2 linked regions of the Saccharomyces cerevisiae S288C genome follow. Each later gene encodes a partner of the first gene's protein in a complex. Each region holds a gene or a part of one and is shown on either strand. Other genes may lie near its edges.

Evidence for each region. Proteins that work in one complex are often made in the same cells at the same time.
Region 2: UFO1 (region 1) and CDC53 share a complex: the UniProt entries of both Saccharomyces cerevisiae proteins name them as parts of the probable SCF(UFO1) complex.

What each region holds. Positions count from the first base shown.
Region 1 is NC_001145.3:90,562-94,810, reverse strand, and holds UFO1 (SCF ubiquitin ligase complex subunit UFO1), read right to left. Parts: upstream 2,577-4,249; coding exon 570-2,576; downstream 1-569. Other genes in the region: AIM33 (cytochrome-b5 reductase), read left to right, coding at 1-380; RPM2 (ribonuclease P), read left to right, coding at 4,080-4,249. UniProt on the Saccharomyces cerevisiae protein: Substrate recognition component of a SCF (SKP1-CUL1-F-box protein) E3 ubiquitin-protein ligase complex which mediates the ubiquitination and subsequent proteasomal degradation of target proteins. Probably recognizes and binds to phosphorylated target proteins.
Region 2 is NC_001136.10:222,726-227,320, reverse strand, and holds CDC53 (cullin CDC53), read right to left. Parts: upstream 3,018-4,595; coding exon 570-3,017; downstream 1-569. Other genes in the region: SRF1 (phospholipase D regulator), read right to left, coding at 3,581-4,595. UniProt on the Saccharomyces cerevisiae protein: Core component of multiple cullin-RING-based SCF (SKP1-CUL1-F-box) E3 ubiquitin-protein ligase complexes which mediate the ubiquitination and subsequent proteasomal degradation of target proteins.

The DNA of each region.
Region 1 (4,249 bases):
CTGGTATAACCCCTGTATTGCAAGTGCTGCAAGAAATCATACCCTCTCCAGAAGACCTAACACACATTTCTTTGATATACGCAAACGAAACAGAGGATGACATTCTCATGAAATCGCAACTAGACCACATGGCTAAGGAGTACCCGCATTTTAAAGTTCATTATGTAATTCATAAGCCAAACGGTAAATGGAACGGTGATGTTGGGTACGTAACTCTAGAGGAAATGAAAAGATACCTACCTAAACAAGCGGAGGACCATCGTTTATTGATTTGCGGACCACCTAAAATGAATGAAATGGTTTTGAATTATGCAAAGGAGTTGGGGTGGAGTAATGGGTTTCACAAAGGTAATGGAACCGATAAAGTTTTTGTTTTTTAATCAACTGTTTACGATTGATGATTTTTCATGTAAATAAGCATTAATTATATTTAGATATATATTCGTATTTTATTAATAATTAGGAGGAATAAAGTCCGACATTTTTTTCAAAAAAAAAAAAATAATATTTCACAACGAAAAATCTATAAATAAAATATTTAACATATGCTCTTCCAAATGTACATACTTTCAATTGATTTCACTCAATGACAACGCAATGGCCAATTGTAAGTCTTCATCAACATTATTACTAGCATCAACGCCAACAGAACTACCGATAGTGTTCTCAGTTGAGGTTCGTTCGGATGACTCTGCTGCACCATATGTAGCAAAATTATCGTCGCTCAAGGGCCCATTTCGTCGACCTGTAGTATGATTTCTAAGATGTCTTCTCCTTTCGTCCTCCACTCTTGATTGTCTGATGGCTCTGAGAAACTCTTCATCATCTTCATCTATCTCATCATTCGTATTATTACCATGATTCGCAGAGCTATTCGTTTGCGTCTCATATATCAGTTGAGATTCCTCCAGCGCCCTTCTTAACTGCTCATCTTCATCATCTCCGACAGGCTCCCCCGCTTCAGCTTGATTCCGTGCTTGCGCCTCCTGTGATTCTAAGAGTGCAATTCTCAACTGAATGTCGTTTTCTTCATCGGTGTCGCCTGAAAGTTCAAGGTCTCCACCATACGCATCGATCAATCTTGATATTTCTGACTGTCTTTTTCTTCTAAGGTCTTCATCTTCATCATAATATTGCAGCTCCGTGTTCAAAGTTTCATTCCACTTATTGCTTACTGTGTTTTTACCTTTAGTGGAATGGTGATGTTTCTTTGAATCACTTGAAACAAACTTTAAATAATTCAAAACGTTACCGCTTCCCATAATGATTTTATCCTGCGATACCTTCAAAAATTCGGGAAACTTCTCGGTTTTCAACACTGTCTTTATTAACTCGCCTGTCATCGCGTTCAATATTTGAAGAACATTTGGCAATGCTACCACAACTATTAAATTTGTCACCTGCGATACGTATACCTGCTCATCAAAACTTATCTTACATTGAACTTTTAAGCCTGACGAAGAAAGATCTCTTATATTGATAATGTATAAAGTGTTCTGTGTCGTCAAAAGACTGATATAGCAGCCGTCATCACCAGCAAATTGCCAGTTTTGTTCCCTTTGAGAAGTTTTTTCATCTATTTCAACTGCGCATATTTGTTCAGGCATCTCCAACTTTCTCAAATTGCCGAAGTTACCATTGGGATTGACCGATATTGTATAAACGTTATTCAGGTCAGCAAGTACCAAAGTCATGGAACCGAAATCCATCTTGAAAAACCGTACCCTCATAGGCTGTTCGTCCAGATCCTTAGGAATATCAATACTGTGCAATTCCTGCATTTGATGGATAATGTACAGCTTTTCATCATCCATAATTAAGGTCCAATCTTTAAAAAAAGCCAGTTTCCAAATTACCCTATTAGAAACCTTCCACATCTTAACAAGCTTATTTTCGCACCACCATATAATTTCACCGTTTTCAGAGCCACTAACAGACCAGTCCTCTCTTGACGTGTCCCAGGATTCTGAATTACAAATGGCAGTAACGCCTGCACTATGCCTTCCCGTAAATTCCATCACGGGCGTTAAGTACGATTTGTTACTTAGCAGTTTTCCAAACACTCTGCCGTCAAACCTACCAAACACTGCAGCATTAATATTGAAGTCCATGGTAGAACAACCTTGTGGTGTTGTACATGGAATATAAATCAATTTCTTAAATTTCTTCTGCCTTTTGTGATTTTGTAACTGTAAAATTGTAATGGTACCATCATTATAAGCTGCAACTCGTGGATAATCAAACACTATGCGTTCTATACTGGGCTGATCCCAGTTTCTCGTCGGAATTATTGTGTATTTGGTTCTTATAGCCTTGTTATGCTGCCAATGATGAAGACCCCGTGTCCTTTCAATATACTCTACACTAAATTTCGAAGACTGAGAAAATGTGGGGAAATGAGTCGTGTGAACTCTAGACTTAAACAGGTTCTTCCAAAGTTCTTCATCGTGAATTAAGTTCCGGAAATGCGTAGAAAGTTCTTGCAACGTGAACAAGTCCTTTTCGTCTAAGTGAGAAAAGATGTTTATCAGGATTTCGGGTGGAAGGTCCTGCAATACCAAGCCAGGCCGCTCCATGCTGTCTTATTCCCTAGTGTCGGCCACCTGATAAAGGTTTTTAACTCGTACCTGGTATACCTGCCTGTTAGATTTATTTAAGGCATCTCTAAGTAATACTGAAAACCGCCACATGCGAGAAAATGGAAAGGGAAAAATTAAGGCTGCGAAAATTAATAATAGCCAAAAAAAAGTGCATGATAAAGCCTCACCCCGAGTTCGAACCGGAAAAAAAAATAGCTAAGTGAACTACTTATCCAAAGCGCCAAAAGGGGTAACAAGAAGCATTTCCCGGCTTTTAAAATGCGTACATAAACTGCTAAAAAATGTCTTGTTTCTTTTTTCGGTATATTTGAAGACGGGGATTTTAAATCATGAAATACGTACTTCGCCCTAAAGAGTCACTACAGAATTTACAGAATAGTTAGATCGAAGCACGCTAAATTGGCACCCGAAATAACACTGCAGTTGTTGCAGCTGTGGCGCGCAGTGCGAATCTGCCGCAGAAAACCCAGGAAATAGCGACCGGACACCACGTAATGCAACGCTGACCTTTCGGCGGCAAAGAATTGGGGTAAACATATAAAGTATTATTTAAAGAGAGAGCAATTCCAAGACAACAGAAAATCTTACAATATATTTATCACAGAATTCGCGGCGCAATTATACGTGGCAAGGAACCTAGCAGGCTTTACGCAAGATGCCATGGAAAATTTAACATCTAAGGCTACCTGAATAAAATGCCAAAAGCGAAAAAACCGTCTGAGAGCCCGCTAAACTCTTCAGAGTCGGTAGTAGATACCAAGATTACGCTAGCCGCACATTTCCAATTTGTTGTTATTCCCTATGCCGCACGCTTGGCAAAGCTGTATATTTGACTCTTTTAGTAGATTTGTAGAGCTTTTCCTGGCATACAATAAGCAAAGACTTTATTTCCGCTCGAGTCCGCTTTTAACCGCCGAATTCCTCCGGCTAACCAATGAAATGCAAGAGCGCACAAAAAGTGGGGCAGCTCCGAATGCGCGCGTTCTCATTGGCCAGGCACTCGGGGCCGAGACTCGGTGTGCCTTACAATTCCCCCATGACAAAGCAAAAACTGTCAGTTTCCCTCGAATCATACACACGTCAATTACAAATCCATGGATTAAGTTGTCTCTCGTTCGTCCATATTACACTTTTCTCTTTAGTTGTATGCTTTATAAAATTGATCCGTGAAAAGTTTTCCACATAATAAACCAAGACAACAGGATTGTTTATAACGTTATAAGAAAGCAGAAGAAAATTTGCTGTGCGTTGTTTCCCTAATATCGCACCCAAAGAACCAAGACACATCATAAAAGGAGCTATAGCTTCAACTCTGACACAATTTTTTGTCAGTTTATATTCATCTTCACAAAAAAAAAAATTATACAAATATAGAAACAAATAACTCGCCCAGCTTTTTTTGCATAAAAAGATAAGTGCATTTAAATTTATAGAGACTACAACAAACAGAAAAGAAAAAACAAGCATACACAAACGAAAATGGCTTTCAAATCATTCATATACTCTAAAGGTTATCATCGTTCCGCCGCTCAAAAGAAAACTGCAACATCTTTTTTCGATAGCTCCTACCAGTATCTAAGGCAAAACCAAGGTTTGGTAAATTCGGATCCCGTACTTCATGCATCTCATCTACATCCTCATCCGGTCGT
Region 2 (4,595 bases), on another chromosome or scaffold:
CAACAAGAAGAAAGATAAATTTTGAAATCTGTTGCATATATATATTAGTATATAAGAGACTGCATGAAAATGCGAACAAACGCATGCTCAACACCACTCATGCGCAATATCGTAGAATCACACACAACGAGAACGATCAGCTTGGCATCTTTGCAAAGTGACTAATTTTCGCTGTTCCACCACTATCGCACATTGCGCGACGTGATTTCTACGCGGATTTCTTGGAGCTGGTAGCTGCTGGTGACGATTTCCAGCGGAATTTCAACTCTGCCACTGACTGATCCTTGTTGTCAGTCTCATCATTTCAGCCTGATCTCTTCTCAAGCAGGCCGAAAAGCCGCCCGGTAAAGGATGTTACAACGGAAAGAGAAGTGCCATATCTTCATACTATGAGATTCTCAAGAGGTCAAAGACTCTTCATAGTTCAGTTGAATACACACAATTACACACACACACATATATATATATACATATATATATATATATATATATATATATATATATGTATACGCTTATGTATTTACTCGTAGGATTTGCTTCGTTCGATCAGCACAAGCCTTCAAAGATGATTAAGCAAGGTAAGCATACGATTCACCATCGTCTCCCCTCTGTAGGTATCCCTTTTGTATTAAGCTATCGATGGCTCTCTTGACCATAGAAACCTTTGCATTGAACCTTTGGTGTGATTGCGCAATGCATTCGTTGACCAATGTTGTATGTGGCAGATTTCTTTTCGCTTTCATTATTCTCACAATACAAGCTTCCAAGAAAATCTGCCTTTCTGTATTCAATTCTTTTTCTATTCTTTCGTCTTCCGTCAAGCGTTTGTTTCCTAACTTATTACCGTGATTATCGTGGCCTCCACCGGATAGCGATTGCAGAATGTCGTTTTTGACTCCGCTAGCGAAATTAATATTGGTCTTAAGCGCCTTATAAGGACGTGATAGCTTGAATTGTGTTTCAGGTTTCACGAGAGCATCTAGCCCTGGTGGGACCTGTTGAATCAGTTTGAATTTGATGAATGGTACCATTGCCGCTGCGATGTGCTGAATGGTTAAGCTCGTGCCCTCTTGAATATTTTCTAAGGTTAATACATCAGCATCGTTATATAGTAGCAAAATTGCCATTTGAAACAGTGTTACCGTAAAGTTGAACGGCATCCTGCCGGGTTTTCCAATATCTGCCTTCAATTCGCCACGACATAATGGCCATAGCCACTTCAATATTCTACCATTATGCTTTTGGCTGTATGACTCCTTCAATTTTTCGTGAGATGGTACCAATTCCTTGGGTAGCTTAAATTCAACTTCTTGGTATGAAAATGGCCACATATTTTCTGCCAATACAAATGGTTGTAGATCTGGATATTTTGCTTTAGAGTAATCTGGTTCATTCTTCAGGGCGACAGCAAAATCGTCTTCCAAGATCTTGGAAAGTCTAATATCTTGAAACATTTTAGTTATCTTGCCTGTATATTCCATACTATTTGCCGCTTGCAGCCTTTGAATAATATTTTCTTCGTCTTCTGCTGATGTTGAAGTGCCATGAATTAAACGCTTGGCGAAAAGTCTTCTATAATGAGTTTCGAACGCATCTTTGTCGGTCAAATATTTGAATATTGTTATAATATCTTCATCTGACATGTCACTTGCCACTTCAGGTTTGGTGGCCTTCTTTAATAGTATATCACTGTACTTAGCTAGCATCTCGGAAGTCTTCGAGGTGGCACTTTTTGGAGATCCAGCAGGTAATGCGAACTCGTTGATGTTGATGAAAGCACCACACGCATTATCTAGAGCTTTAGCTAAAGGTATGTCGTCGGGGAAACTTTCATTAAAAATCTTAGAGAATATATCGTGTACTTCCAGTAATTTCTTGATATAGTCTTTAGGAGAAAGGGAGTGAGCTGTCATTAGTGCTAGTTTTTTAGGGTTTGCGTTTTCGTTTTTCATAATATTGTGTTTATGCATTGCCAGTAGACTCGAAATTTCATTCTCACCTGTCTTTTTAACATAATTTTCAAACACTGAAGCCATTCTTGGGATTAATGTAAAGTCTCTGCGTATTAGTGCGTACAAAGAAGTAATTTTTTCAATATCTCTGGCATCCAGAAGGACAACAAACTCATTTTCCAACTTTTCAATATGGTCTGTGATCAAGACCTTGTTTAATGCCATGGATAGTGGTTTTTTTGTATGATCATCCCAATATATTGTCATTGCTTTTTCCTCACGTTTGATGATTTCATGTGCTTCAAAAATATACTCAGTTACCGAGTGTTTCTCTAAATAATCGTTTGTATATTGCGTGTAGTACTCCTGAGTCTTCTTTAAAAATGGCTTTTCGAAAACTTGGATGTAGACATTTAGGTTCAACTTTTTCAAATCCTGTGGATCGATACCTAGTGCAACTAAAGACTTTATGGCAGTGCTAATATTACTTCTTTGAATTATTTGCCCCTCCCTTCCCAAGGTTACCTGGTCTAATAATTCGTTTATTAAAACATCTTTACTCGGATCAAACATGACTTCTTTCCATGTCATCAAGCACAAGGTGTTTACATCAAAAATATGCCTTTTGCCGTCACTTCTTTCCTTTTGAACCCAATATCTATTCATATAATCGAATGCATGGTTTAAAAAAATGGCACCTATTGTAAACCTTTTCCAGCGCTTGACGTAAAACTGCAAAAAGGTCTCTGAATTAGACTGCTTAAAATTTAAAATGTAATTCTTCAAATAATTCTTTAACTTTTCGTAAATCTCACTGCCAACCAAAATTGTTGATTGGCCAGTTCTACTGTCAGTACTAAAATGTCCAGACGAGCGTGATTTGTTCACACAGTAGTTATAAATTGCGGTATAGACTTCCATATACATGGTTGGAGAAAGAATTTTGTAAACTCGCTTAGACGTGGATGCTTGGTTTTTCTCATTACCCAGTATTTGGTTAATTCCTGGCTCTATAAAGTTCCAAGTGGCCTCTAAATCATCAGATCTAGGCAGAGTCTCAGACATGCTTTGCTGCTTGCGATTTTGTTGTTATTCTTTGTTTAGGTATATGTAAGAATCCTTTCAAGACTCAAAAATGTACGCTTATTTATCGGTAAGTAGAAGCAATGTCGAATTGCTAAAAGAAATGTGTAACTGAGGTAAAATGTAATCAACAATGAAAGGGGTGCACAGAAGTTAGAAGATGCGGATGAAAAGCTCTAAAAGAGAAAAAGGACAATATAAAAGAGCAGTGATATGAATCAATTGCGTTGTAAAGTGAAGTTCTGCTGGGGTACTTTACCTAATGCCCTAGTTTTTCTAGATGTTCTATTTGCCACATTTCACTTCATGTGTGTCCATCAAACATCGAAATGAAAAAGGGCCCTTAAAACGGAAAGGAAAAGAAAGTGCAATAGCCCTCCCTTCGGGTAATACATATTATATCGCACAAAGCCTAATATAATCAAACCCGCCGTTAATGAATAAATGCCAAGCCGGAGTAATTTTTTAAGTCAAAAATATACAATGCATATAAATGTCAATCTTGGTATCTAAAAGAATTCTTTTAATTTCTATATTTGTCGAGCTCAGTTTCTGTTGGTAATTGAACTGACTTTTTCGACTACTCTAACAATACTGATCGAGAAAGTGATTACCCACATAAACAAGGCAACGAACAGAAAAGCGGATAAAGCTTCCTGTTTTCTGCAGATACGCGGTATTTTTGGGTATCCATACGTGCTTCCATTTGACCTGCGAATAGAAGTGCAAACCCACTCTTTGTCGAAACGAGTATTAAATGCCAGCGCTAGATTAGCGCTTGAAAAAATTATAAAAAGTAAGTCCAACAAAATTAGTTTCAGTTTGCTTAACGGATTCCTCAAACCAACAGGTTTACCAGCAAATTCATCGTGTGCAATGTAAATAATATACGCAATCGCCACGGCGTTGACGCAGATGGCCATTATGGTGCTTGGTTGTTGCCCGATTTTACTTTCACTGATGGTGTTATTTGATCTTGAGTTTTGAAAAATCTTGATTGCCAGAGCAAGTGAAATGCACGATAATATACCAGTGAAAATCCTCAAACCCAAAATCAAATATTGATTATCAAGTAATAGCGACGTCAAAGGAGGTCTCCACTGTTGTAACTTCCTTTGCTTTAACCTCCGCCACTTTTCTCTCTCTTTATTGAGCTCATTTACCCAATCTGACTTGTAAACTTTGTTGTGTACTGATTCGGGTGATTCTGGGTTCTTCTTATTATCACCGTAATAGAAATCTTTTACCTTTTCGATATATTGTAACCACTCTTTTCTCTCTTCTGTCGTGTTGAACTCTAAATTGGCACCTATTTCTGAATGTAGAACACCTTCTAGTCGTTCTTCACCTCCCCACTCGCTGCACATGTCACCTAAAATTTCTCTAAGAGCCGCATTTTTTGATGAGGTAGATGATGATAGAGAGTAACCATCGTAGGATTTGTGACTAGGATTGTAGTTTTGGTCTCTAGTGTATGCAGAATGACAGCCGATGGTAGATGCAAACTGGCCCCATTTAAACTCTTTTGGAAGATTTTTATCATCGGTAACATTTCCATCA